Caenorhabditis elegans: one gene and its partners. The protein of the gene in region 3 purifies or fractionates together with the protein of the main gene of each other region. This does not show direct contact. Each region holds a gene or a part of one and is shown on either strand. Other genes may lie near its edges. The genes, in order: cpt-6, srw-137 and Y43F8B.3.

Region 1 (8,391 bases), about 13 Mb from region 3:
GAAATTAATAATTTTAAAATTAGAAACAAGTAAAATATTCTATCGCATCGACGTGAATTTTCACCAAAAATGAAATAAGTGTTTCTAAAATGAACGTCTTCAAAAAGATTTTGGTTAGAGGTGTTTTTAAGTGTTTTGTTCATGACTCACGAGTACTCTTGTCTCATCATCGAATTGTTTTTTCCTGCATGTGATGAGAAGTATGATGATGTCTGAGGAGTGGAGAGTATCCAGTATTGTACTTATGTTTGTACCTGTACCATCTGAAGAAGCATGGGTTAAGAACATTGTGGAATCTGGAAAAAACAGTTTGAACTGGTAACAAATGTTTTTAAAGCAGGACAGCAATACAAACTGAACTAATTAAAGATTTAAAAATTGCTCAAGATTACTGAAACTTTGGTAAAAATTAAATTCCTTGGTAGTCAAGAACCAGGGACAAACTTTAGTTGTGCAAACTGTTATTACGATGACGTCTAAAAGTGAGAATTTTCGTCATATCAAAAGTTTCGCCGTGCTGGGAACAAATTACAGTATCTCATGTTGATTCCCGGGTAGCTGATATTCTTAGGACTACCTTTTTTAAGTTTTAATTTAAATAATTGAGATTTTTGTTCGTAGGATATGAAAAAAATTCTAACTTTTATTAGTCCAGGTAATACGGTAATCTGGTTTTTCACAAAACAGCCCTCTGAAAATTGTTTACAAGTGCAGCCCCAGTATTGTGTCTTATTTGGAATTATTCGGGAAAAGCTTGAGTTTATGATCTACTAATTTTTTAAAGTTTGTGCACTTTCCATTATCAGAAATGTTGTGGAAAGCTCTTTCTGTAAGGTAAAAAAGATATTCTGATGAAATAAATATTTTATTTTACATACCGTCGTGCAGGAAACAATTCCAAGAAACATATTTGATTACTTTTTTAAAATTATTTTAAGCTACAGTATGAAGGGATTCTACCCGCAGTTTAAAATATTTCCCATCTGATAAAAACTTTTTTTTTAATCCTAGGCTACATCGTAGCACCCTAAAGCTTTCCCATTTCGACCAGCTGTGTTTGCATCCACGAATTTTCTCATAACCGCCTGCAGTGAAGATTCTCCGATAGTAGGTCAACCAGACAAACTTTCCCTCTCTATCATTTCGCCCTGCTTGTGTGTTTCCTTACTCTACATCAAACTGTTATCGGACATATTTTTCGTCGACATTTTGACCGGCGGTTATTGTACTTTTATAATTTTCCAGTGCGTTTTTAAGCTGAACTTTCATTTGAATTTTGGCGGGTTCTTTTGTAGCTTGCTCGATTTCCAGGTGACACAATTGATAGGGCTGGGAGATCTTTCAAACTTAAATCTAGAGTTGCACCAGGGAATATCATCTATATACTCGTACGATAATCTGAAATAATCGAATATCATTTTAAAACTACCGAAAATTCTTGGATTTTTCAGATTTTTCAGGAAAAATTTTGGTAAATAGCCAATTTTACCAAATTTAAAACAGGTTTTTTTGAGGAATTTGGAGCAATGCGGCATGTTTGAACTTTTTTTTATAGTAGGTAATTTTAGCACTGGTTTTAAACAGTACTCCCAATTCTTTTAAAATTATCAAAAACTCTTGATATCCCAACTTATTATTTTACTTCTGAAATTTATTTCCAAAATGAAAATATATTATTTTTAGTAGATAAATTGCACCATATTCTTTCAAACCACCTGCACCAAACCTCACAGGTCTGACTACAATCTAGTTACGACCCCTTTAAATCTAGATATTGATCGGCCTTCTATCTAGATTTTGTCCCATTGTTCCTTTTATCGACTAGAATTGTGCACACCATATGGTGTTCAATATTGCCTTTTTCCTCTTTTCCAGATACGTGTTCTACTTTTTTGTTTTCAGTTTGTTTTTGTTTTTTATAAAGCATTGAAAGTAAAATTTTTTTTAGAAATGCATATTGTTTAACTAGAATTTTTGATTTTTCCGGAATAATATTTGTTCTGTGTTACAAAATTTTTCAGAAAGCCTTTCAAAAATTTTGAAACTGAAATCTTTTTTCAAATCTTCCAAATAAAAAACATATTGAAGAATATATGACGGGTTTTTTCTAAAAAATTATTTTTCCGCAATGCTTTATTTGCAGGTTTTTCTCCAAATTTTGGTTGACAGAAAATAAATTCTATTCATAAAATATGCCGTATTTCCTTCTCACTCTACATCTCTCCATTTTCTGATGGGATTTAGAAACCCTATATTTGTTGTGCTCAGGCTTTTTTTTCGCTCATTCAACAACACGGAACAAAACTCTCGTTTTTCATCTTATTTTTTGCTTGAAGCAGACTCTGCTCACTCTACTCCACTTTGTACTCTACTCTTTTTGCTTCAAAAGCCATCGTTCTCTTATCTCAGCCATTTTTTGAAGAGTTTCCAGCACATGATTCTCTCGAAATATTTTGTTTCCTATCGATAAGATTATGAGAATGAAAGTCAACTAGAATACGATCAGAATACAATTTTGATCTTTCTCCTTTAAAAAGTCAGCAATAAGTGTAGACGGAGACTGGAGAAAAGGCAAAGTTAAATTGATAATGTAGATTAATTAGTTTTCTTTTTTTGTGATTCTCATCCCCCAATTTTATCACCACAACATCACTCACGTTCATCAAATTTGTTGTTTTTTCGTCTGCAGCCTTCTAAACTTTATTACCTATCCTGCCAATTTCAACTCTTCAATTTCAAAAACCTTACCATAATTTCAGATGTCGTCCAACAAAAAGAAAACAGTTCGTTCACCATATCCTTTTCCAACAAAATTCCCATCGCCAATTGAACAAGCATCCTACAAGACCTACGTAAGTTTTATCAAATCAGAAAATTGGCTAATTTACCTCAATTGACCTTTTCTACGTGTTGTGGGAAGTCAGAGAAAAACTAGTTGTTAAGTGGGTAGAATTTGGAATTTCGAATTGGATCTAGTTTAGGAAACAAAACACAGAAAACAATTTTTTTTTAAAACATTACCTTTTTCAAAGTTACCAAACAACCATGAAGTATCTATATTTTCAGAATTGGATTGAGAACACACTTTGGCCTATCAAACCGATTCCATTCGTTGCCACAACCGTTGCTCTGGCGGCCACCCTACACTACAAATACCCAGAAAATGCGATTCTTGATCTTCTTCCAAAGTTCGGATCGGAAGTTGCTGAAATTGCAAAAACCACTGCAGTCGCGGCAATTGGATCCTACGCAGGAGTATTCACACTTCGAAAACTTCTCAAGCACTTCTACTTCTCATACAAAGGATTCTTGTTTGACAACCCAAAGAAGCCATGTTTGAAAACGAAAATTTGGGGTGTAAGTTATTTTGTAACACCATCAGAATTTATTGTTCAAATTTCAGATTGTCCGACACATTCTCTCAATTTCCCCACCAATCCTTGAATCTTGTGATCGCCTTCTTCCGAGTCTCCCGGTACCAGCTCTCAAAGACACTATTTCTGAATACCTTGACTCCATGAAACATATTCTATCAGAACAAGAGTACGAGATTGTCGCCAAGCAAGCACATGAGTTTCTGGAAAACGAGGGAAAGAAGCTTCAGAGATACACGTGGATCTACTCTTTGTTCACCGACAACTATGTCACCTCGTTCTGGCAAAAGTATGCATATCTTCATGGGAGATACCCACTTATGATTAATAGCAGTGTTGCTCATTGTGACTTGCTCCGAGACAAAGAAGCAACACGAGCTCACAGAGCAGCTCGAGTAACCTGGATTGAAGTCATGTCGCATCTTGCAATTGATCGTCAACAGTACAAGGCGGTATGTTTTTTTTGTGATTCCTGATCGTTTGTATTTTGCCCTATTTCTTATCAGTGAATGTTACACGTCGCAATCTTGCACCGAAAAAAACCAAACAATTGTTTTGATAACATTTTATCATCAATATGAATGTTTCCAGCTTGGCGACGGACTTGTCTGCACCAGACATTACAAAAATATGTATGCAGTAACCCGAGAACCAGGGAAGAAGATTGATCAGCTGATATTGCACGGAATTCAGAAGCACATTGTAGTGGTGTTGCGTGGAAAATACTATAAGATTCACGTGGTTGATGATAAGAACAACATCTACACTGTGGAACAATTGACGAAGTACGTAAAAGTTAATCGAAAAAGGATCTGCACTACTGATATTTTATAACATCAGAGTTTATTATATTAGTCGCAAGACGCAAGTTGGAAAAATATTCTAACCAGGAAATTGCATATGGTGTAATGGAAATTGTAAAGCAAATGGCATATTTTCTAAAAGCTCATCAAAAGCTATGAAGAAAAAAGTTGCTAAAAGTTTTATCGTTTGCTAACTTTGGCAACTGCCGATATCATCTTCGAAATTGAATTCAAATATTTTTGTTAAAAACAACTCATTCAGAGATGCTGAAAAATGCGAACATCTTACTGTTAAATACCATTTTTTCTTAAAAATTCCAAAGTATAAGCTCAGCAACAATTTATTTTAGAGCAACGCTAAAACTACTGAAACTTCAAAAAATGGGGGTAGCCAAAAATACAGAGTTAATTACATATTTAAATTTTAAACACGTTATATATACACGAAATTTCAAAAATTTATTTTAAACGCATTTGGTTATCTTTATGGAAAATATGGAATTTCAAATGTGCACTGATTTTCAAATTTTTTTAAACTGAGAATTTTGGAAAATATGGAGTTTCAAATGTGCACTGATTTTCAATTTTTTTTAAACTGAGAATAATGGTGAATATGGAGTTTCAAATGTGCACTGATTTTTAAATTTCTTTGAACTGAGATGCATATAAGCGTCAAAAAAACATGCTAAAAATTTCAAAATTTAATGTCAGCAACTTGCCAAACATTTTAATAAAAATTCCAAGTAAAGCTTTAAAAATCAATATAAATAATTAATTCTAGAATTTTCCACGAAATGATTTCCCGAGACGAGAAGGAGGAAGGGGTTATTGGAAAAATCGCAGCATTGACCCACGATACCAGGGACTCTTGGCACAGAAACCGTCAAAAGTATTTCCTTGGAAACGTGAAAAATGCTCAAATCCTCAAGGAAATCGAGTGTGCTGTATTCTTTTTCACACTCGATGAGAATGATGATTATGGATATGATGAGAAGAAACCCGAAGTTCTCAGCAACTTCCTTGCCAATTGTCTTTCTGGAGATGGAACTAATCGATGGGTTGATAAGTCTCTTAATTATATTTGTTCGAAAAATGCTCGATGCGGTGGAACAACTGAGCATTCTATTGCGGATGGAGCAGAATTTGATCATATTATGGAAAACTTTGTATATGTAGATTTGGAAGTTTTGAAATACAAATCAATTGAAGAGCAAGAGAAAATGGCAGTTATTGAAGAGAATGATAAGAAATCTCTGAAGCTTGCTACTCCATTGAACTTTGAAGTTCCAGATCAAGAGGTAAGCTTCATTTTTTGCCTTACCTTTCAGGTCAAAATAATCATTTTTCAGATGCTCTCCGAGATCACTCGCTGCTACGATGCTCATCAAATCGCCAAGAATGACCTTGACCTGTATGCCCTTGCATTCCGTGATTTTGGAAAAGGACGTATCAAGAAGTGTGGTGTCTCACCAGATGCATTCATTCAAATGGCTATTCAACTTGCCAACTATCGAGATCAAGGCAAATTTGTGCTCACATATGAACCAGCATCAGCTCGATTCTTTGCAAACTCGAGGACCGAAACTTTGAGAACAGTTAACGATCACTCTTGTGAATTTGTGGAAGCTATGTTGAATGCAAATGAAACGGTAAGTTAATTTGAAGTTATTAAGACGATGAAAAATTCAAATTTCAGAAAGAAGCCAAGATTGCTCTTTTGAAAAAAGCTTGTGAAACTCATGTTCTTCGAAACAAGAAGTGTATGGTTGGGCAAGGAGTCGATCGTCATCTCTTTGTTCTGTATATTTTATCTCAAGGAACGGGGATTCAGAGTCCTTTCCTTGACAATTATATTAATCAAAAGTGGAAGCTATCTACCTCACATGTGAGTAATCATTAAAATAAGATGACATAGTGCTATGTATTTGGCAGTTGTATCACGTAACTTTCTAATAATGAGCTGAAGGATTTTAATTCAAACATTTTTCAACAATTGCTTTTTCTGGATTTTCCTAATTATTTTTTTTTTAACTTTACAATTTGAACATATCCTATTCCAGGTTCCAAACGTGACTAATCAATGCGACGAGGACACTGATTCAGACAACACTTGGCTCGGAGCATGCTTCGGAGCAGTCGCTGCTGATGGCTACGGAATCTGCTATCGCTTTGGAGGAAACCACGGAATCTTTGCAAACATCACAAGTTATCATTCCGCTGCCAACACTGATTCAACAAAGTTTGCAAAGTTGCTCTCCGAATCGTTCCACGAACTTTCAAACCTTTTCGTTTGAACCATCCCATTTTGTAACAAACGGTTTTATACCCATAACTTGTACCAATTTGAACTCATTCTGCACTATCATTCTAACCTGTTTCATATATTACTGTCACTCAGTCAATAAAATAATTTTTATTAAATAAAAAATTCTCTCGTGTATGACCCATTCAAAAATCACCTGAAATGACTCATGACCAGTTCACGATCTATGCTCAATTCTTGGTGTACACCAGACTATGACTCATGTAAAACTGGTGAAATGTCAAACAGAGTTTCCGATCAAAAATGGCAATTGTACGAGAATTTCATTTTTGATAGCATCACGTTGTGTGTGCCGATGGAAAGATGATTTTAGCACAAAAACTGCAAAAAACGGTTTTTATAGTGCACCAAAAAAGATGGAAAAAGATCTGAAAATGAATGAAATTGAAACTTAAATCTCTTAAGATTAAATATGAAATTTTGCCAATCTTTTCGGTAGGTTTTTGAAATCATGGAAACAGTTCTGGAAAGTTTGCAAACTTGACTATTTGTTTAGCTGACAAATTGTTGATGTGACTTGAATTCGCACCCTTTTCTAGATGAACTAATCCAAATTAACAAACGTAACGAAACATTTTCGAGGACAACAATCCTTTCATATTCATAACTACAGAAATCTGAACACCTTTTCAAAACATTATTTAACATCTAATTTTTTAAAATTCGTGGCATTTGTATGTAGAATTATGTTGTAAAATGATGTAATGATAGTGAGAAATCATTTAGATCTGTAACCTAAATACAATTTTTATACCCTCTATTAGACAAAACTTGATATTTAAAACTTTTTGTATTTCCAAAATGATGTTCCGTCATGCTGAAAAACAAAATAAACCAACAAAAAATTATGCTTCGAGCTGATTACTTGCAAATTATTAACAGAAACATTTCATTCCTAATCAGACGCAACGATTGAATTTGATTTTTCTTCCCCATCAGTTGAGTAATTACATCCTCTTTCATTGAATTCCAACTTTTAGTCTTATTCAGTTCTTTATTTGCCATTGATTTCCCAAATGTAGAAGTGTGTCTGATACCTCCCATTGATTCTTAGTCTTTAAGCAAATAAAACTCGCCTGATGTCATAGAAATATCGATAAGAGTTTGAATAAAAGTCGTGGCATTTCCTCACTTCTCTATCGGTTCAATCGGTCTTACTATCAACTAACATGCACTCCTATCACAACCCCGTGAGTTTTTGATTTTCTAGAATTTTCCAGTTTGGAAACTTCAAGTTTTCAATAAACCAAATTTCAGGGTGTCCCAACCGCTCTCTCGATCTTCGAGCCACTTCAAGATGGATCCACCATCTCTGTTCACGGACATGTTCGTCACGGACATCACAAGAACTTTGCCGTCGAGCTTTTGAGCGGACCAAATGTTGTTCTTCATGTCAACTTCCGTTTCCATCATGAACACGTCGTTGTCATGAACTCCCAGTTCAGTGGAATGTGGGGACCAGAAATCCGTCACAAAAACCCACTTCACCACTCGGAGCACTTCCACCTTAGCATCAAGGTTCACGCTGGATATTACCATGTAAGTTTTAACGTATTTAATTTTATAGTTAACTGTATTCAATTTCAGATCTCTGTGAACGGTCATCACCTCGCCGACTACCCACATCGTTACCCATACCAATCGGTTCAAGCCATCGGATTGAAGGGAGACGTTCATGTTGACAAGGTTCACTTCGAAGGATTCCACTTCCAACGTCGTTGGGACGGACATGTCGATCATGGACACTCTGGATACAATGCCTATGGAACTGAAACCTATGTTGCTCCAGTGTTTGTTCAGCCAAACTTTATGCCATACGGAGCACCACCACCACCAGTCCAAAACTTCAACCCATACAGATAAATCGGGGATCTTATTTTTTTAATGTATT
Region 2 (5,814 bases), about 17 Mb from region 3:
TAATCTAGCGCGGTAAAAATCAGAGATAGACTAGATCAGATTTACAAAATTAAGTTTAACAAAAATTTAATTTCTCTGGGCTCAAAAACACTGACTCAAAAACAAAACCCAACAAATGAGGCGTTCAGGTAATTTTCACAGGATGCAGTAGTAGTAATGTGCTACGGAAATAATTAGAAATCAAGAAGTGCTACTTGAAAAATTATTGGATATTTGGAGCCAATTGAATACCTATTGAATTTCTAAAAAATTATTGAATACATAACCAAAATTTAAAAAAAAATCAAGTATAAAAATTGAAAAAAAATTGTCAATTTTAATATATGTATACTGTTCCAACGCGATATATTAAATTCAACTTTTGAAAACATCGGGTCGGCTATTTGCACCACTGGACACGAACCGAGCCAAAATGCCAGCCGCGCCCGCCTTGCGGCTACCTCCGCCTGCCTCGCGCCGCCTGCATGTAGTGCGGCGCGGAACCTGAAAAGTGTCGGCCGCGGAGATAAAACCACCTTACACACTATGTGGTACAGAAATGAGGCGAGAGGCCTGCGGGCAGGTCGGCAGCAGGCTTGAGGCCCTACCGCGCCTGCCTCCCATGGAATCCCTACCGTTTTTTTTTACGATTAACACGCGGTAGATTTTTTTTGTATAACTGTTATGTTATTGATTCTGGATTTGTGTTTCTATCGAATTTGGCGAACGTATTCTGAAGTATTACGTATTCGGCAATTTCACTTCAAAACTTACAGCTTGTAAAACATTTTTCCTTTTCCTCGTTTTTGGAGTAATTATGAAAATAAATTGAAGTAATTATGAAAATATGAGTATATTGCTTTTGTAGGTTGGAAACAGAGGGTATTTGATGTTTCACAATGACCGTGCTTCCTCATTTACTCCACTAGGTTCTTAGTTGTCTTTATTTTTGTTGAGATAACCAACTGAGTCATCCTGTTCTCAGAAAACTTTTGTCATTTTTTGTTTATAGAAAACAACTGTCATATCGACCAAAAAACTGGGTTTATTCACTTCACAGTTTTTTTTTGTGAAAATCGTGTGAGCATGTCTAGTCTCCGTGAGTATTACTTAACAAACTATACAACATGTCCAAGATGCGATACGTTTTTGTGCTCTTGGCAAGACTTTTCTTACACTTCCCATTTTTTGACTGCATTTTCACTTCCAGTTTATCTTTTTGGAGGTTACTGTATCCTATACAAAAGCCCAAAGGAAATGTCAACCTATCGAATTCCGCTTTTCAATTTCCATGTTTGGTAAGTATACACATCACAAACATTGACTGTGCACATGTAGAAATATTCAGGACGTGTCTGGCGGATGTGTTTTTGAATTGCCTCGGGACACCATATATATTTCTTCCAACTCTCACGGGATTTTCAGTTGGCTTGTTGAACTTTTTGGGTGTCCCACCGAAAATTCAGGCTTGGCTGGCATTTCAGAGTCTGAATTGTAAGTTTAGGTATCCGGAAGTGTAGCAATCTGGAAGCTGGAACAGTTCCCATCAGATACATTTTAAAAATCCGCAGCCGACATTGAGCGAGATCGCGTCAGACCACACAGCGCGCAATCAATTTCACAAAATCAAAAAATTGTTTCAGTCATGTTATTATCTACAACAATATTGGTAGAAAATCGGAATAACGCAATTCCATTCAACAAGTTCAAAATAACTCGGAAAAGTACGAAAACTATTTACTATCTAACAAAACTACTGATTGGAGTATTTTACGCAGCATCATTCACATTTTTCATACCAGCAAACCAGGAAGAAGCACTCTTTAAAGTTCTCAGACGGCTTCCATGTCCTTCTCAAGACTTTTTCACGGCTTCCAATATTTTTGTATTGTGCATCGATGATTATCATATTCATTTTTTAATTGCCTTCACAGTATTAGGAGTTGTGGTAGAAGTGATTCAAATTTTGTTTTACTTGACATGTTGTGTCTACTATTTGTTTTTCTCGATTCGTTCGTTTACTTCAAAGACCACGAGAAAGTTGCAAATTAAATTTTTGGCAAGCATACTTCTACAAATTTCAATTCCTGTTTTGTTCATGTTACCGACCGCTTTTTATATTTGGTTTGCTGTTGATTTTAATTATTATAATCAAGGTTCGGAATAAATTTGTGGGTAAATTTAAACAAAAAACCAATTTTCCAGCATTAACCAATTTGTCAATTCTTCATGCTTCAATTCATGGCTTAATATCTACAGTCGCTGTACTCATTATACATCATCCTTATCGGCAGTTCGTTTTGTCATATTTCTGGAAATCTAAACCAAAACAACCCTTGAAAAATATCGATATAGATTCTGTGGTAATTACTCAAATTGTTATCAAATAATTTTTTCATAAAAGGAGTTTTTTTAATAAACTATGTTTTTTTACAAACCTTACCTTTTTTCCTACAAATCAACAAAGCCGAAGAGCAGTAGAATGCTCAAATATCACAACAGGGATGTGCTGAAATCGGAAATTTTTGACAACTTTGGCCATTGCTGGAGCAATTGCCACCCGGCCATGCTTCAAAGTGATGTCTGAACGTAGCCTGAAAATTAAGGGATAATTATCATTTCTGCAGCTTCCGTCTTCGATTTAATAATATATTTTTCTGAGACAATTCCCTTTTTTTAGTTCCAGCTTTTGAGTAAAATATTCGTTCTTCAATTCCTTCCGCAATAAATCAAAAAAAAAAATTAAATTTCTGGAGGCTTTCTGTTTTTCCATTCCTTTTGATATCAAAAAGTTTTTAGTTTTACAACAATGATTAGTGACAAATATCTTCAAATTGATTTTCCGGGCTTTGAGCATTCTACTGCTCGTCGGCTATACCGAATCGAAAGATATCTGGCGTAAGTGTCATATAAATCAAAAGAAAGGTATTTCAAGATCAGAGAGTTTCAGAGTTTTCACAGAGAAAGTTCTGTCATATGAGTCTATCATTTCAATTACTTGTATTTTGGTAAACATTTTACATTCTGCAATTCTGACAAGAAAATCTATGAGAAACTCCTCCATAAATATCATTATGACTGCAGTGGCTATTTTAGACATTTGCACATTTTTTTCAGAACTCAAGAAAATCGTCGAGCGATTTCTCCGAGATTATTACGATTGTTTTCAAAGTGAAACATATACTTTTGTAATAATCGAAACTTCGTTTCAAGTCCTCCAAGACTATTCCCGGCGGTGTTCAACGTGGCTTTGCTTTCTCATCGCGCTTATTCGAACACTAGTCATCAGAAATCCTCTGAACCAAAGCTACCAGAAATTAGCCGGTCCTGCCCTCTCTGGTTTTGCAATTCTCGGAATATTATTTTTGAGTCTTCCGATTTCAGTGGTCTTTTCTCTGGAATATGAACTAATGAAAAGTTCTGTGCCATCATTTTGTAATTCAACTGAAACAACTTACTACACAGTTATATCTGATATGTTTGCGGATAATGATGGGTATTATTTGAAAATATTTTCAATTGTTAACGGGCTCGTTTCAAATGTAATTTCTTTTCGTTAGGCCTAACTACAGGGTTTTCTAAATTCCAGATAATTCCCTGCGTGCTCTTCCCGATAGTAACTTTCCTATTGGTCGTCGAGCTCTGGAAATCGGATAAAAAGCGAAAAAATCTTTCTTCCACTGCAAATGTAAATGACTCTAGAAAAACTACTAGACTGGTATTCTACATATCTATTACGTTTTTTATCGCCGAATTTCCGCTTGGAATAACATTGGGTGCAACTTGGTTTTTTCTCGATGTTCCTGGAATGAAGTGAGTTGATCATTGCCTGAGTGACGCCACTAAGGCATCGAGGAACTCCGTTTTTGATGCAACCAGCGAAATGTCGGCCGCGCGATAAATATCTTTTATTAAATTTTAACCGGGTTGTTTTATGATTTAGATCAATAATGAGTTACTTCTACTACAATTTTTCCTTGCTCCTGTCTGCAAATACAGCTACCCACTGCATAGTTTGCTTCTTCATGTCATCTCAATATCGGATTGCTGCAAAGCAAGTAGTGTCCTGTGGATATTTGACTCAGGTTCGGGTATGTTTCAGGCTTGATGCAACATTTTGTAGATTTAGAAAAACAAAGCAACTGTGATTCAAGTCACTCACACTAGTTCTGCAAGGCGACAAGTTTTTAAAAAGTGAGGTTGACAAAATGCCGAGGACGAGTGGAAATTGCTACAATTGTATGTTAATTTACTATGATTTGTATAGCTTTTCATTCAAGTGTTTTAAGAATAAATATTTTTTTCACTATCGGTAGAACATCTTGTTTTGATCTAGCTGGTTAGAGATGAATCAAAGAGATTTCTAACACATCTATGTTTTTTTTTCTTGAAGCTAATTAATTTTTCTCGAATTTTTTCTTTTGATTCATAATAACACGACGAAAAACATTGTCTTGTGTTTTTATCAGCTCCGCGCTTTGTTCAAAATATCAGAGAAAACCCGTTTCACATACATAGGTATATTCAAAAACTTTCAAATTATTCCAAAAGCTTGGGCCAAAAATTTCTGATTTTCAACTAAATTGGTGAAAATATTTAATTTAACTGTGCATTCCTGACTCACAAAAACAAAATTTCAACTATCCCCACTACACTCTGAGAAATTAAAAAAACCGGACGGCTTACATCCGGCATTAAATGTGGTGTAGTCAAATTTTTTTGTTGTTTTATTAGACTCAAAATTGTCTGAAAACACCGAATTTCATAATGAAACTTCCTGAAAACTTCTCAAAAAAAAAAGCTATGACGGCTCAAAAAAATACCTAAAATTAGTTAAAATTTGAAATTTGACTGACTTGTCAATGTTGCAGCACCTGGAGACTAAAAACTTTTTTGAAATCACAGTCTAATTTTGAGTATGTAGTGTTAATTTTTCATTTTTTTAAATCAAATCTCCCGTCCATCAACTTTAAAAAGCCTTAATCGAGTTGAAAACTCAAGATATTTAACTAGTATACCCAATTTTGGTGATATACGGTGATTTCAAAACAGTCAGCTTCAAGCTGCTGACAAGTCAAATTTCAAACTTTAACCAGTTTTAAGCTATTTTTTGAGCCGTCATAACTTTTTTTTGAGAAGTTTTCAAGAAATTTCATTATGAAATTCGGTCGTTTCAGAGTCTAATAAAGCAATAAAAAAATTCGACTACACCACCTTTTAAACAAAAATTGGATTTTTGGATTGCAACCCTAACAGAAACAAAATGTCGACATGCAATGCCTACCAAAGAAACTATCCAGGATATGATAACGCCACAGCAATTTTTCTATGCCAATTTGAGGCTCGACTTTTGTGAGTTTAAGCTCTGGCAAATATTTATGGTTAGATGAATTTGCTTCATTTTCAGTAAGATATCAGGACACGTTTTTAACTATGAACATTATCTCTCCATTGCAAGCATTTTCATAAACATTTTTCATTTTTTGATTCTCATCCGAAAGCCTTTACGGAGTTCATCTATCAATATTATCATGGCTTTTATTTCAATTTTCGATATATGCTCAATGCTCTTCAGAATGAAACAATCATATGGTCCATCGATAGAATACATATTTGATCCATGCATGCAGTCAAAGTGGTATTTCAACGTATATTTGGAGAAAATCCTTCTAGTTGTCAAAGATCATTCCCAACGATCTTCGACATGGCTCCTATTCTCGATTGCACTGATTAGAACGTTGGTCATACGAAATCCTATGAATCCAAAATACGAAAGACTTGCACACCCACCAACATCATTATTTACAATGATTTGTATAAATTTGATCTTCGGCC
Region 3 (6,925 bases):
GCCTGGCCGTTCACTTTTCATTTTTGGTTTTCATTTCCTTTCACCGTAAGGTTAGTAAGGTTGGGCTCAATGTGCTTGTTGGTGAAAATTTTGAGCCCGTTGAGGAAGCTGCTTGATTGAGCTCGAATTTTCATTTCCAAAATTAAGTTTTGCCAGTAATTTGGGCTTGTTTGGAGCATAATTTTTCTGAAATATTTAGAAAATTTAAGAAAAAAAAGGTTAAAATTACATCCTGAAGCTTTCAAAAAATATACAAGGTCCAGAAAATTAAAAATTCCATAAACTTTTTTGAAGTTTTAGAAAATTCCTGAAATTTCAAAATGTTATAATTTTACTCGAAGTAGAATTTTTTTTAATTATGAGAATTTCTGGTGTGTTCAGAAAATTTCCGAAAATTACAGAAAGAATATACAAAAAAAATTTTTTTTTGAATTTTTTGAAATATCCTGGAATTTTTTGAAATTTTCTGTAGATCTCATAAATTTTAAGAAATTTTTAAAAATTACAAAAAAGTAATTCCCAAAGTATCCGAAATGAAATTTTCAAAAAATTCTGGAAGTTTTTTAAAATAATAGGTGAATCCAGTGAAATTCAGTTTAAAAGTTTTGAAATTTTTCAAAAATGTACAGGAAAATTCTAGCAAATTCAGCATTTTCTGAATTTATGTACTTGAATTTTTATGGAAATTTCTGAATTTTCCTGAAAATGTTAGAAAAAAACTTAAGACTACAACAAATTTCTAAAAAAAATCTGTGAAAATTCAAAAAAAAAATTCCATAAACTTTCATGAAACTTTCAGAAATTTTTGGGAATATTTTCTAATTTCATGAAAACCGAGCAAGGTTCATAAGTTTATGGAAAATTTCAAAATATTCAAGGTTTTATAAAGTTTCATGAATTTTTCAGAAAAATCTGAGAAATTTCAAGAAATTCTGAAATAAAAAAATTGAAATTTTCAGGTTTTCTGAAAAAATTCAGAAAATTTAATGGAAAAAAAACGAGCAATTCAAAAAAAATTCACGATTTTTGAATTTTCTGGAATAAAAAAAAATAAAAAAAATTTGCAAAAATTATATTCGAAAAAATCGAATTTTTAAATTTTTGAAATTTTCTGAAGGTTTTTTTTTTGAGTTTGAAAAAATTCAAAAATTAAAACAAAAAATTCCTAAAAAATATCCGTATTTCCTTGACTTTCTGTAATATTCTGGAATTTTTTCTCCGCATTTCTCTGAATTGCCACTAAAACACATTTCCATAGACAATGCACATTCCGACCCCAAAAACAGTATCGAATTTCAGGCCCGCGCCCTAATTAGTTGGCAAGTTTGTTTTGTGTGAATCAGGTCAAACAAAATAATCAAATTTCAATGAGCATCCTGTTTTTTTTTCGAAAACAATTGATTTTTAATTTAGCTCCCATCAACTCTAACCCAATACTTTTTGCTCTTTTTTTCTCCCCCAACCACACACGCGTCGCGTCAAGGAGTTGCACTCATCACTCCAATTTTTTTTGTTCCGCGCGGAAGCTTTTCCCCCCTACGTGACGTATCTCCCGTAGAGACCCCTCAACTAGTCAGGCAGCAGGGGCGTATGTGCTCCGAAGCCGGGAGCACATACCAACTCTCGCGCCTTTATCATTTCATGCCATCTTTTCAAACAATTGCACCATGTGCTTTCAATTGTTTCTTTCTAGGTTTTGGATCAAGTTTTACCGAAATTTTTCATATTCCTGTCCGAAATATATTTTTAAGCTTAAGACTAAGCCTTAGGCTTATCTTTGGCCTGAGCCTACTTTTCACCAGAATTTGCAATTGTGACCTTTAAGCCTATATGGCCTATTTCTCTAATACTAGGCTTAGTCCTAAGTCTAAGCCCAGTCAATGACTCTGACCCAATAGCTAGCTCAGCTAAGCTGAGACTGAATTTAAGCCAAACAACTCTTCAATTTAGCCCCAGGTCCCGAGCCTTTAAGCCTTTAACCGTAGGCACTGAGTCTCAGGCCCTTAGCCCCAGGAGGAAATCCCCCAGTTTCAAGCCCTTAGCCTGAAATCAGGCCTAAGTCCAAGCTTGATGAAAAGCTTAAGCCTAAACCCCCTCCCACAAAAGTTCAAATTTCACTCCCACCACCTCCAAAAAAACCATCCCAGACATTGCGAAAAATCAAGTTTTGCCTAGATTTTCCCGTCCTCCTCCCCCCAAAATCTAATACCTCTCGTCAATAAACAATTGCGTGTCTTGTCAAGTGGTTCAGGGCTCATCGAGCCCCCCACCCAAGTGACTCATCAAGGGTGTGTACTGCCTAATGTTCTCCTACTCTAATATCATTTTATCAGTTGTACAAATGGTTTTCGGCTCGTTTCTTAGTTTTAGGCTCTTGGGCCAAAGTTTTCGGGCTTAGGCTTAGGCTTAGGCTTATGGTTAAGGTTAGGCTTAGGCTTAAGTTTTGGCTTGGGCATTAGGCTTGGGTTTAGGCTTAGGCTTGGTCATTAGGCTTAGGCTTAGGCTTGGTCAGTAGGCTTAGGCTTAGGCTTAGGCTTATAGTTAAGGTTAGGCTTAGGCTTAAGTTTTGGCTTGGGCATTAGGCTTGGGCATTAGGCTTAGGCTTGGTCATTAGGCTTAGGCTTAGGCTTGGTCATTAGGCTTAGGCTTAGGCTTGGTCATTAGGCTTAGGCTTAGGCTTAGGCTTAGGCTTATGCTTAGGCTAAGGTTTAGGCTTAGAATTGGGTATTAGGCTTAGGCTTAGGCGTAGGCTTAGGCTTAGGCATAGGCCTAGGTTTAGGCTCAATTTTGGAGACATTTTTTTTCGGTTCACCAAGTCAGCTTTTTTACACTTTTTTGTTAATTTCTTGAACTTTTTTTTTTCAAAAAGTCAGTTTTTTTCCAATTTCTCTCAAATTTATATGGAATTTTTTTTTAATACTTTACCTCAATTTTTTTTTGTTGCAGGACGATGCCTCCACTCAGGTGGCTCTTTTTAGTACTATGCGCCGTGGTGGCAGTTCGAGCAGCCGATGACAGCCTCATCGGCTCTTTTAAGACAATGTTCTTCGGTAATGAACCTGAGAAGACCAACGACTCCGCCACTTCATCACAAAATAATCCTCCGATCAGTTATCACCAGTATGCGACTGCTTCATCACCATGTAAGTGGTTTTGTAGATTCAGGATTGTTACAATTTTGGGTCCTGGCACGATAGGTACTGTAGGTGTTCGAAAATTTCTAAAGTTTTCGGATTCTGCGGAGCTTGGTTGATAGGGGTAAAATTCAGAAGCTCAAAATTTTTTTGACAATTTTTTTGAACATTTTTTTAAATTAAAATTTTATTAATTTCTCAGTCTTTATACATTTTACTTCTAGTTTATTTAATAATCTGACACACAAACGCTTCAAAGTAACGTCCATAATGCCTAGGTTCCGCCGATTTTGATATTTTGGGTCCCGCCACGCCGGGTACTGTATCTCCAGCTAAAATTGTTTGAAATTTCAAAATTAACGGAAACTACTCGATATGGGTGTCATTTTTAAGGTATTAGCACGAGAATATTGATTTTCATAATAAAAATTTAGTAAAATGTCTAGTTTTTTTTTCAGCCAGCCGCTCACAACCTCCATCTGGACAATCTTGTACCCTGCCACGTCAGATTGGAACTGGACCCTACAGAATTCCAAGATGGTAATGTGTTGTTTTTTTTCAATTTTTGAAAAAAGAGAAAATTTGGGATATTCAAAAAAAAAAAAAATTTTTTCAAATTTTTCAATTTTTTTTGTTGAAAATCTCTAAACTTTTCCAATTTTTGAAAATCAATAACTAACCCAATTTTTCACCTAATTTCAGGTACTATAACCCAGTCCGCGGACGTTGTGAGCTGTTCTATTGGTCCGGTTGCTGTGGAAACGGAAACAATTTCCAGACGTTCCAGACGTGCCAATCGACCTGCGAAGGTGAGCATTTTTCGGGTTTAGATGTCAATTTCACTTTGCAGAATGTAGAAAAAATAATTATGCCCTAGTGGGGATTGAACCTAAGACCTTCTGTTTACAGGCAAATTCCCACTGCGCCACATGGCTCATTTTTTCTCAAAATCCCCAAAAATGTCTTGAAAAAATTGTGCAAAACTTCAGTTTTTTGTACTGTACCCCAAAATCCAATTTTTTTTTGTTACATTTTCTAGCAAATCACACAAAACAAAAAATGTTTACCCAAGTTGGGGGTCGAACCCTGGTCTTGTGGGCCCAAGGAAATTCCCACTGCGCCATTCGGACCAAAACATTTTTATCGATTTTTCGTAACTTTTTGTTTAAAAACTAGTGCTAACTAAATTTATCGAACAAAATTCACGTAAAATTTAACTTGATCGCCGAGCAATTTTCGGTAAACTCGGTAAACTCGGTAAAGTTTTCAGTTTTCATCAAATTTCTCAGAAAAAATTGAGAATTTTTTTGGTTCCACATAAACTACAATCTTTATAAACTGTTTTTCTAGCAAATAACACAAAACAAAAATATTCGACCCTAGCGTGGGGTCGAACCCTGGACGTGAGAGCGCAAGGAAGTTTAAGGAATATCCCACTGCGCCATTCGGACGAATTTTTTTTCGTGGTTTTTAGCGTAAAAACTTGTTTATTATAGGATTTTGAATGTAAAAAAAAATTAAACTGTATAAAAAAAGTGTTCTAGCATCCTCGCAAACAACTTCTCAAACTTCTTCTCAAATAGTCTTCTCGACACCTCAACTCTCTGTATTCCAACCAACTTCCACACAAATCGACGTACTTTTTCAACCGAATCCTCTCAATCATTACCTCTCCATGCCGCCCGTCCTCTGTTCGTGCTGTTTCCGACCGTACTCCGAGGGTTACGGTAGCTCGAATCTCCTCCGATTCTACTACGACGCTCCGGCGAAACAGTGTCGACAGTTTATTTATAAGGGACTGGGTGGCTATGGTAATCAGTTTGAGTCGGAGTTCAAGTGCCGAAATTCGTGTGGAGTTAGTGGGCTCGCCGAGCCACAAACACTGGCCACGCCCCCACCGACGATGATGGTGACGTCATCAACTTCTCAACTTCCTCCTGTCGTCTATCTTTCAACAGGTTCTTAGCAGTGTTGTTTTTGGTCGCTTTGAGCTTTTTATTGCTTTTTATTCTTACCTGAAATTTTTTTGTTGTGTGCTGTGAAAATTTTGAAACATTTTACAAAAAAAAATTTGGAAAAAATTTTTTTAAGTCACATTTTTTCTCAGAATATTATTAAATTGCTAAAAAATTCAAATCTATTGCCTGTTTGCTTCTGAAAAAAGTTATTTCAGTAAATTACACAAAATAAAAAATTTTGACCGCAGCGGGGAGTCGAACCCCGGTCTCGTGGGTGCAAGGAAAATCGCACTGCGCCATTCAAACAAATTAATTTTTTAGATTTTTTAGTGTTCTTTACACACATTTGTGCTCAAAAGTAGTTTTCCTAGTACAAAACAGAAAATAAAAATATTTTGACCCCACTGGGAGTCGAACCTTGGTCTTGTGGGGTCAAGGAAAATCCCACTGCGCCATTCAAACATTTTTGCCAAAAATCGATATTTTCAGATTTTTCAAACAAATTCTGATCAAGATGTGTGTGTTGTTGTGTTTTCCACATATTCAACAGCTTATTCCTCGTGTAAAATCCCCCCCCCCCCCCCCCCCCCATCAACTTAAAACTCACTCGCCCCCTCAAATCAGTGTGTGCTCATTTTCAGTCGATCCGTGCTCTCAGGACAAGGAACCGGGCGTGGGCGCCGTCCAACTGCCCCGCTTCTTTTTCAACAAGGATTCCCGGATTTGCGAGCAATTCCAGTATTTTGGCACCGGCGGGAATCGCAATAACTTCCAGACGCTTGAAGAGTGTCAAGCACAGTGTCCAGGTTGTGTAACTGCACCCCCTACTAATTAATCATGCATGAATATTTACGAAAAATCAATAATTAACATTTTTTGGTTAAAAAATTTTTGGAAGAAAAAAAAAATGTTTCGAATTTTTTTTTTCAAATTTTAATCTTTTCCTTTCTATTTGCTTTCTTATATCTATATTTTTTGGTATTTCATATAGCCTAGTTCCCGGTGTCGGTTATCACAACATTATTACAAAACTTTACCTCTATGGCATGTGCAAAGGGTAGCTGGTGGTGCAAAAATCCAATAATTCCCAATCCCCCAAAAATCAATAAATTTCCAGAAAGCCCGAATCCATGTGCCGTTACCGGTGGTGCAACACTATCTCCGTGTGCTCCGGGTCAGGGATGTGGTACTGGAAGCTATTGCCACGTCGGAGCCCAGACACAGACCACCGTGTGCTGCCCCAAGCCGGCGGCCGTCGATCGATGCCAACAACCGTTGAATGTTGGAATTGGTAACTCGAATTTGCAGAGGTAATGAATTTTAGGGAAAAAAGTTTTAAAAAAAGTTTGACCACAGCGGGAGTCGAACCCCGGTCTTGTGGGCGCAAGGAAATTTAAGGGATACCCCACTGCGCCATTCGGACAAATGTATTTGTTCTGGCGGTTTTGATCAATTTTCATTACCAATGTTGTTTAAACTCACTTTACAGCACAAAAAGTTAGCACAAAAATTTCACTTCCAGGAAAATTGATTTTCCTATTTTTTAAAATTTTCTTTAAAAAAATCTTTTTTTTTTAAATTTATTCACACATTTTTTGTCTAAAAACTTTTTTTCTTTCCAAATCACAAAACAAAAAAAAAATTGACCACAGCGGGGGCCGAACCCCGGTCGTATTGGCGCAAGGAAAATCAAGGAAAAACCCACTGCGCCATTCGTCCCAAAATTTCAAAATTTTCTTTTTTTTTTATTTTCAAGATTGTCATAGTGGCTTCAACTAAATTTTCAAGTAAAGTAACAAAAACAAAAAAAATGTTGGCCACAGCGGGGGTCGA

Evidence for each region.
Region 1: the proteins of Y43F8B.3 (region 3) and cpt-6 fractionate together in Caenorhabditis elegans (co-fractionation; one large-scale study listed by BioGRID). This does not show direct contact.
Region 2: the proteins of Y43F8B.3 (region 3) and srw-137 fractionate together in Caenorhabditis elegans (co-fractionation; one large-scale study listed by BioGRID). This does not show direct contact.

Annotation. Positions count from the first base shown.
Region 1 is NC_003283.11:6,488,290-6,496,680, reverse strand, and holds cpt-6 (Choline/carnitine acyltransferase domain-containing protein), read left to right. Parts: upstream 1-2,759; coding exon 2,760-2,852; intron 2,853-3,066; coding exon 3,067-3,357; intron 3,358-3,403; coding exon 3,404-3,826; intron 3,827-3,965; coding exon 3,966-4,159; intron 4,160-4,958; coding exon 4,959-5,475; intron 5,476-5,526; coding exon 5,527-5,826; intron 5,827-5,873; coding exon 5,874-6,062; intron 6,063-6,237; coding exon 6,238-6,471; 3' UTR 6,472-6,595; downstream 6,596-8,391. Other genes in the region: lec-10 (Galectin), read left to right, coding at 7,670-7,690, 7,758-8,039, 8,088-8,363.
Region 2 is NC_003283.11:2,940,934-2,946,747, reverse strand, and holds srw-137 (G-protein coupled receptors family 1 profile domain-containing protein), read left to right. Parts: upstream 1-2,788; coding exon 2,789-2,877; intron 2,878-2,929; coding exon 2,930-3,521; intron 3,522-3,568; coding exon 3,569-3,792; intron 3,793-3,922; coding exon 3,923-4,064; intron 4,065-4,108; coding exon 4,109-4,177; downstream 4,178-5,814. Other genes in the region: srh-87 (Serpentine Receptor, class H), read left to right, coding at 1,066-1,277, 1,328-1,473, 1,623-2,135, 2,185-2,369; srw-143 (G-protein coupled receptors family 1 profile domain-containing protein), read left to right, coding at 5,243-5,331, 5,387-5,814.
Region 3 is NC_003283.11:19,500,162-19,507,086, forward strand, and holds the start of Y43F8B.3 (BPTI/Kunitz inhibitor domain-containing protein), read left to right. Parts: upstream 1-2,950; coding exon 2,951-3,143; intron 3,144-3,592; coding exon 3,593-3,674; intron 3,675-3,836; coding exon 3,837-3,943; intron 3,944-4,678; coding exon of another isoform or gene 4,679-5,092; intron 5,093-5,733; coding exon 5,734-5,898; intron 5,899-6,209; coding exon 6,210-6,402; intron 6,403-6,925.